Linked DNA regions of Mus musculus. The protein of the gene in region 1 binds, or shares a complex with, the protein of each later gene. Links are inferred from orthologs where the notes say so. Each region holds a gene or a part of one and is shown on either strand. Other genes may lie near its edges.

Region 1 (3,500 bases):
CTCATTTTAATAGTGCTTTGGCCCTAATGCTTGCATCTTGTGTCCATAAGGACCACTGTGCTTAATTCTGATTCGTATGGAGAACCTAGGATCTCTTCAAGATCTTGAATTTAGTCACATTGTCAGGGATCTTTTGTCATTTAAGTGAGGATAGATATGGACACAATTAGGGGCCATTATTCAGATGGCCATTGAATCGAAGAAACAGCACAAGGCTGAGAAAGAGGACAGATACACTGCTGTGAAAATACTTTCCAGTGATACAAAGCTGCACACCAACTTAACCTGCTACATTATGATGTCCTGTGAATTGAACATTATACATAAACAAGGAATGGAATGGAAAGTTCACAAGATGCTATAGGGGAAAAGGCACTTTCTGCTACTAAGAAAAGACAATGCTCTCTGGAGCACCTCAGGCCCAAAGGCAAAATTCCACGCTTGACAATACTGGTCTAACCTATTTATAAGGTGACTTGAATTACTTATTTCTTTTCAGCTGGATCTAGTGAAAGAAGGGTTATCTGAAATTTTAGCTACACTCTTTGTAGCCTGTGCATTTGAGCAACAGGAAGATAGCATGATATCTTCAAAAGGAACTTGTGATGGAGAAAGAAACTGCAAGGAGCACCTGGCCGTCCTCCTGGGGGGGGGGGGAACGGTGTCCAAGCCTTCTGTTCCCTACCTATAAGATAAGTGACTTTTTAAGTGTTTGTTCCTGGACAGAATAGAAAACTGGATGTCATAGTAGGTGCTCCATATAAACTGAGATGTCATTTGACTGACTTTTTGAGTGCTTGTACCAAGAAATTATTTTTTTTTTAAAAAGAAAGTGTTTACCCGGCAAACAGGGATGACTGACACTTACGTCATCACTGCAAAGTTATGTGCTATACAACAAAAGGGATGGGGAGGAAACACGCATGCACATCCTATTGAAAAAGATTTTATGAAGATCAAACAAATGTATAAAGTGAAGAAGAAATCCACAAATTGATGGCTACCCATGGAGAAACTTATTGTGTGTAGTCAGAATATGGTTGTAGACTTCTGATGCTTGTTAGCAACCAAGTCATAGCTAGCTACCTGGACTCGTTCATTTGTTTCTTCTCAGACACCAATTTTCAGTGGCTTTTACTACAATTTTAGAAAAGCACACTATATCAATTTGGGGGTGTTAATCTGTGGAATTTATTAATGAGTAAAACTTTAATAAAACCAGTAGAACCAAGTATATATTTTCACTTTCCTTTCCAATTACAAAATGTACATTTTGAAATCATTGTTTATTTAATTTTGTTACTTAAATACTCATATTAAACATTTGTATATATTATAAATATAAAGTTTACCATAAACACACCGTTGATAAAAATTAATATAACTTAAAATCACATTGATATTAAATTTACTATCTAATCATCTACAATGTTTCTAATAAGGTGTGATGTATTTTGTAATGCTAACAGAGTGCAGAAAATGAACTCTGGTGTTATATTAAGTATCCTGAGTAAAGTCATTTGGCATAGTGACAATCTGAATTGTTAGTCGTAGAGCATATTTTCACATGACATTTCCTGAGGCTGAGAGCTCACCAGAGTGCCTGTGCAGAGCAGAGTGACCAGGCCAATGAAACACTCAAACCAGCTGTTCTCTACTATCTTGCAGCAAGTTTTCCTGATGTTTTTCCAAATCTTTCCATTCCTAGATTCTCTACTGATTTGACCAGTTGAAGATTTGCGTTCATAACCTGCCAAGGATGGAACTGTTAGAAGCAACCATTTAGGGAACTCACAAAGGATAAACATCTCAATTTTGGATGCTTTACTGTTGACTTATTTACTGATTCTGATGCAGATGCTCTGTGATTCACAGACATTTGGCTTTTTCCCGCCACTCAGTGGTCTGTGATGAGTGAGGAAATGAGAAGAACAGAACTTGTGGATTTGGAAGACGGAGAAATTAGATACACAAGCTCAATATAACAGAATGTCCTTTAACCCTAGAGGAAAAAGAACTAATATGAAGGAAATCAGTCCACCAATGTTACCCTAAAATGTGCACACATGTGAGATAGCTTGTCAATCATGTTTTGAATACTCAGTACAATCATTTAAGACACAATTACTCATATTGACATATATATTAGTAAGTCAATACATTTTCCCTGAAATTGATTCTTAAGCAGCATAGAAATGGAGAACCTGAGAGAGAGAATTTACAGAGGTACTCAGGAATCCAAGTACTTCATGGGTTCAGAACATGTAGCTGTAAGAAGCCTGCCTTCTTGTAAGAGAGTTAGCACAAACAAATCTACAGCTCAGTAAGTAAATGATTATTGGTTTGTTTGAAAAACTGGTTTTGAGTGTAAGATAAAGTTAAAAAATTAATTTTAGTGCCAGAATATGCTTCTCTACTAAACCTTGAATATATTTCTACCATTGTCTTAGTTGATCAATGCCCTTGAACTAAAGTTGTTGAAAAATTTGTGTGTGTCTGCACACATACATCTCTTTCTGTGTCTCTGTCTGTGTCTCTCTCTCAGACTCTCTCTGTCTCTGTCTGTCTCTGTCTCTGTCTGTCTCTCTGTGTCTCTGTCTCTCTCTGTGTATGTGTGAGTGTGTCTGGTAGTACATGCAGGGATGTCTTTCCTAACGACTCCTACATCTATGTTTTGAGACAGGTCTCTCACTGAACTTGGAACTCCTCTTTTCCACTAGACTGGCTGGCCTGCAGGCTCCTGGATCCACCTGTGTCTGCTTCACCAACACAGGGATGATAGACATGACTGCCAGCTTAGCTTTTATGTACATGATTGGGATGCAAGTTCAGGTCGTTCTGGATTCTATAGCAAGTGCTCTATCCATATCATATCCACCCTGAGCCATATTTTGAACCACAGATATTCTTATTTTAAAGCTATCAATTGAGCATTTTTGACAGTAATTTAATGACTGCAATGATTTCAAGTCTAAATCTCTAGTAATTTATTAATTTTGCTAGTAAACAAATTTGAAATATAAATCACCAAGAAACATATAGTATATTCTAGTGTGCCAAAGAGCTCCCTGAAATTGTATTTTATATGTACTAATCTTTATATACATATATAAACATATAATTATGCTCCATTTTTGTATAAAGTATATAGAAAATTAAGTTGACTGACTCAATTCATGAAGTCAAAATTATTTTACTTGCAATCTATATAGTCTAGTGTCAATTTAGCTACACTTCCTGCTCTACTATAATGTATTTAGTTTTATCAGCTATAGTATGCAATTAAATAAAAGCTTTAAATATATTCTTAGTATTATTTATACCATGAAATGTACATTTGAGTAAACTATCAATATTATTCCACTAATCACGAGTTCTCAGAGTTCCTTTCTGTATCAGCTATGTCAGACACTATCTCGGTTGGCTTAGTCAATGGGTTAGGATGCTGCTGCTGCTGCTGCTGCTGAGTGTTGCTATTCTTGGAAAAGGTTATCTTCTAG
Region 2 (3,500 bases), on another chromosome or scaffold:
AGACAGAGCAAGGTAGGTAGAGGCAAACAGATGGCATGGTAAGGGGAGAGGCAGCATAGAGTAGTCAAAAAGAATGCTGGGAGAAAAAAGGAGTGGGGTGGAGAAGAAAGGAGACTAGGAAGAAGAAAACGAATGGTTGGGGACAGAAAGCAGGTAAAGGGTGGTGAGATATGGGATAAGGCAGCCAGGGAGGGAGAAGGACATAGAGACCAACAAGGCGACTGTGTTAACAGGGAAGATACCTGACAGCCCTGAGCTTGAAACCTGACGCTCTGAGATGCCATCTACCATGGTGAATATGGCACAACCTGGCCAGGCCAATGCATGATGCTGAAGGGTGCCCCGTGAGCTGAGACCTCACCACGGAGAGATGCTCGGAGAGCATTTGCTTTGGGCAGAGTTAGAACCAAAGTCAGGTCTTCCCGGCTTCCAGCTCAAACATTCTCTGACACCACACTGCTTTCATCTAGTCTCCACTAGCCATGGATGGTGACTGAAATTGGAATTCATATTTCCTAGACATTAACCACAATTTAGTTCCTCGGTTGGGTCAACTGGTTGGGACGGTGTGGAAGCAGTGAATGCGGCTAGCAAGCGCACAGGCCTAAACCCCATGGGCCCTTCATATCGAGCCAAGACCTCTGGCCTCCTAGAAATTGGGCATTAATCTGAATTGTACCCTCCCTGGTATATGATTCTAAGACTCTAAAAAGTCATTGTTGGCCCTTGCTTTGGCACCAGATAGGGAGCCAACTTAGATGCAAGTGCCACATGGAACTTAGATTCAGAAATGAGCCCACCGAAGGGGAAAGAAAGAACGAACAGATGAAAGTCACTTCCACCATGTTGTCTTCATTAAATATTGTGGGAGAGACCCAGGAAAATAAGAGAAATCAAGATAAGGAGACTTGGGTCTGCCATCAGACCACCATGTGCAAATCTAAACTCATGTGCATGTGTGTATGTAAATCTAAAAATCTAATGTGTGTATGTAATCTAATTTAATGTTCCTCTTTTGAGTTTCGTGGTTTTTTTTTTCTTTCTAACAAGCACTTATCATATTTCAAGGACTATTTTAAGGGCATTAAAAATCAGAGCTCATGACTCTTGGTAACAACCCCAAATGAAGTTTTTGTTTTTATTCCCACTTAAAAGAAAAAAATAATTAGAAAAATCAGAGGTTAAATATGACCAAGGGCATGTAGCTAAATACTGCCGAGAAAAGAATGGAACCTGGATGGCCTGGCTCCAGAGTCAGTGAAAGTATTGACAAAGATTTAAATGAATCACAGCCCCATGAGTACTGTCCCAAACCAGAACCGAAATTGACCCTCACTCTGACCCTGACCCTGGCCCTGAGCCTGGCACAGAGCCTGCAGGGCTTCTTCTCCTGCCAGGCATGAACCCTTTGGTGTCAAGATCATTGGGAGGGGAAGACTGAGGATTCCTCCTAGATAAGAATGGAGCATGGCCACCTGGGATACAGAGCAGGGCAAGAACATGCTAAGCACCTACTTACAGAGGTGGCTGTCCTGGGCATAGCGGTTGACACAAGCTGCGGTCACCCCAAGTTGCTCCTGCTTCACCGGGACTGTGAGAGTTCAAAGAACTCACCTGAGCTACTTTTCAGGAAGTTGCCTGTGTTCTTTCTTTCCGTTTCATTAAATCCATTTCATAGTACTGTGCAGAAGATGACCATACCCATAAAAGGTCTACCTGGGAGCCTAGCCCACACAGGTTCTCTCGATATGTTTCCCTCTTATAATGGTTCCTGCTTGTAACCAGGGCTGCTCACCCCTGCCCAAGTGATCTACCTTGAAAGACCCTGGGTTCATACAAGGCTGTCAGTTATCTGCTGAGAAGATGTCAGGGTTCAGGAAAGGCATGAGAGCAAGTCAGGGCATCATTATCCAGACTGTTAGGAACCAGGCACACAGCACCATAGGCCAGCACATGAAAAGCCAGAGGCGGCAGTCTGACATACAAGGAAATCTTTACCGCCCTCAGGCCTGTAGAACCACTCCACTACAGTGGTGGCCTCCACCTCCTCCCTCTTCATGCAGGAGATGCATCTCAGCTTCATGGAATTGCCCTGCACGGCTTCTGTCTCCGAGGGTACTTCTACACACACAGGGAAGCAGACTCTGACTGGAGAGAGGATGGGTGGCAAGAAAGGGACAGCCAGAGTGGGCAGGGGGGGATGAGGAGGGAGGGGGAAAGAGAGAGAAGAAAAATAAATCATTGAGACATACTTGAAAACAGTGAGATCCATGTTTGTATCCATTACTGGGGCTCCTTGAGTATGCATGATCAGGATGAGCCTAGAGCAAGATGGTGCGGAGTGGATCCTTCAACAGTGACTGGAAGCCATGAAGATGCAGCAAAGGATAGTCTTAAGCTTGACCCCAAAAGACTTGCAGTCTAGTGGGGTCATACATGCTTCCATCCATCAACTATTCACCCATGTGAACACACCCAGCAGGCATAGAAATCCATTCTTTGCCTGGTCTGATGCTGGATTAGAGATCCTAGGATGAACAACCTACTAGCCATGCTCTCGATGCATATATAACCCAACCGACAAAACATTTCTTTGGTGATTCAACCAGAACACACAAAGGGTCATTTTAGTAAGGTGGCCAGTTCTCCCAGACAGGCAGTTAGTTACTTGGGTTTGGCTGGGGAGAAAGGAAGACAGGGCTGGTGGGACATGAGACAGAAAGGCCAATACGACCTGTGTTGAAAAGACCTGTCAGTGCTCTGTGGGGTATTATGTCAAGTGCTCTAATGCTCTATAGGAGAGACAGAATCAGATCTGTGTTTGAGGACCCATGGAGGACGGTGCAACATCAGTGGGAGTATGGTGAACTGACCACTTAGGCTGGAGCAAGCTCGGTGCGGAGTACAGAGGCAAAATTAGAATTCTGGAGGGGTCAGATCATCTGACACATTGTCCACCATATGGAGGTTTGGACTTTGGGTTTCTACCCTCTAGAAACTCCCAAGTCCAAGGATCGAAGGTGACTATGTCAGATTGCAAATTTAGAATGAATCAAAAGCAGGGCATTGATGCCAACCAAACAAGAACAAACGTGGGATACATTAACAGATGTACAGTGTGCAGAAGGAAGGAGGGGGAGGAATTCTGCAATTGTTCAGAACAAGTCTGGATGGCATGTTGCATTTAACAAAAGGAAGCTGTTCCATAAGTCCACACCCAAAGTGGCTGAGAAGACCAGACCGCAAGACCTGATAAGGAGCAAGTCGGGGAGCACGGGATACTAAACTTGGACACAGAACAGGCTTGTCTTCCAACATTTCAGCCTGGCAGATGGAAACGAAATTCAATTATGCTCAATATTAAAAGTTATAAAAATCAGTTTGACACAGCTAATCTGTTTTTCTTTCAGTGTTTTGAGACAGGGTCTTGCCTTGTAGCCCAAGTTTACCTTGAACTCACAATCCCGATTTACTCTCTGAGGGGTGGGATTACAGGCCTG

Evidence for each region. Proteins that work in one complex are often made in the same cells at the same time.
Region 2: the proteins of Scn7a (region 1) and Scn3b are in contact, whole or in part, in a cryo-EM structure (PDB 7TJ9), measured with the Homo sapiens proteins. The link is inferred for Mus musculus from reciprocal best matches to the Homo sapiens genes SCN7A and SCN3B. Residues at the interface, in NP_002967.2 of Homo sapiens: Arg269, Glu293, Tyr296, Leu298, Glu299, Leu305, Gln315, Cys316, Pro317, Glu318, Gly319, Tyr320, Asn922, Ile923, Thr926, Cys927, Lys929, Ile930, Phe939, Ile956, Tyr957, Asp959, Gln960, Ile966, Tyr970, Met973, Ile974, Tyr977, Ile978, Leu981; in NP_001035241.1 of Homo sapiens: Val25, Cys26, Val27, Glu28, Val29, Arg44, Ile46, Lys50, Arg51, Glu52, Glu53, Val54, Asn95, Gly96, Ser97, Asp99, Gln101, Asp102, Phe126, Phe128, Ala130, His131, Pro133, Val135, Thr154, Ser155, Ser158, Glu159, Met162, Leu165.

The regions. Positions count from the first base shown.
Region 1 is NC_000068.7:66,690,911-66,694,410, forward strand, and holds part of Scn7a (sodium channel protein type 7 subunit alpha), read right to left. Parts: intron 1,751-3,500; coding exon 1,596-1,750; intron 1-1,595. UniProt on the Homo sapiens protein: Sodium leak channel functioning as an osmosensor regulating sodium ion levels in various tissues and organs. While most sodium channels are voltage-gated, SCN7A is not and lets sodium flow through membrane along its concentration gradient.
Region 2 is NC_000075.6:40,275,716-40,279,215, reverse strand, and holds part of Scn3b (sodium channel subunit beta-3 isoform a precursor), read right to left. Parts: intron 2,149-3,500; coding exon 1,985-2,148; intron 1-1,984. UniProt on the Homo sapiens protein: Regulatory subunit of multiple voltage-gated sodium (Nav) channels directly mediating the depolarization of excitable membranes.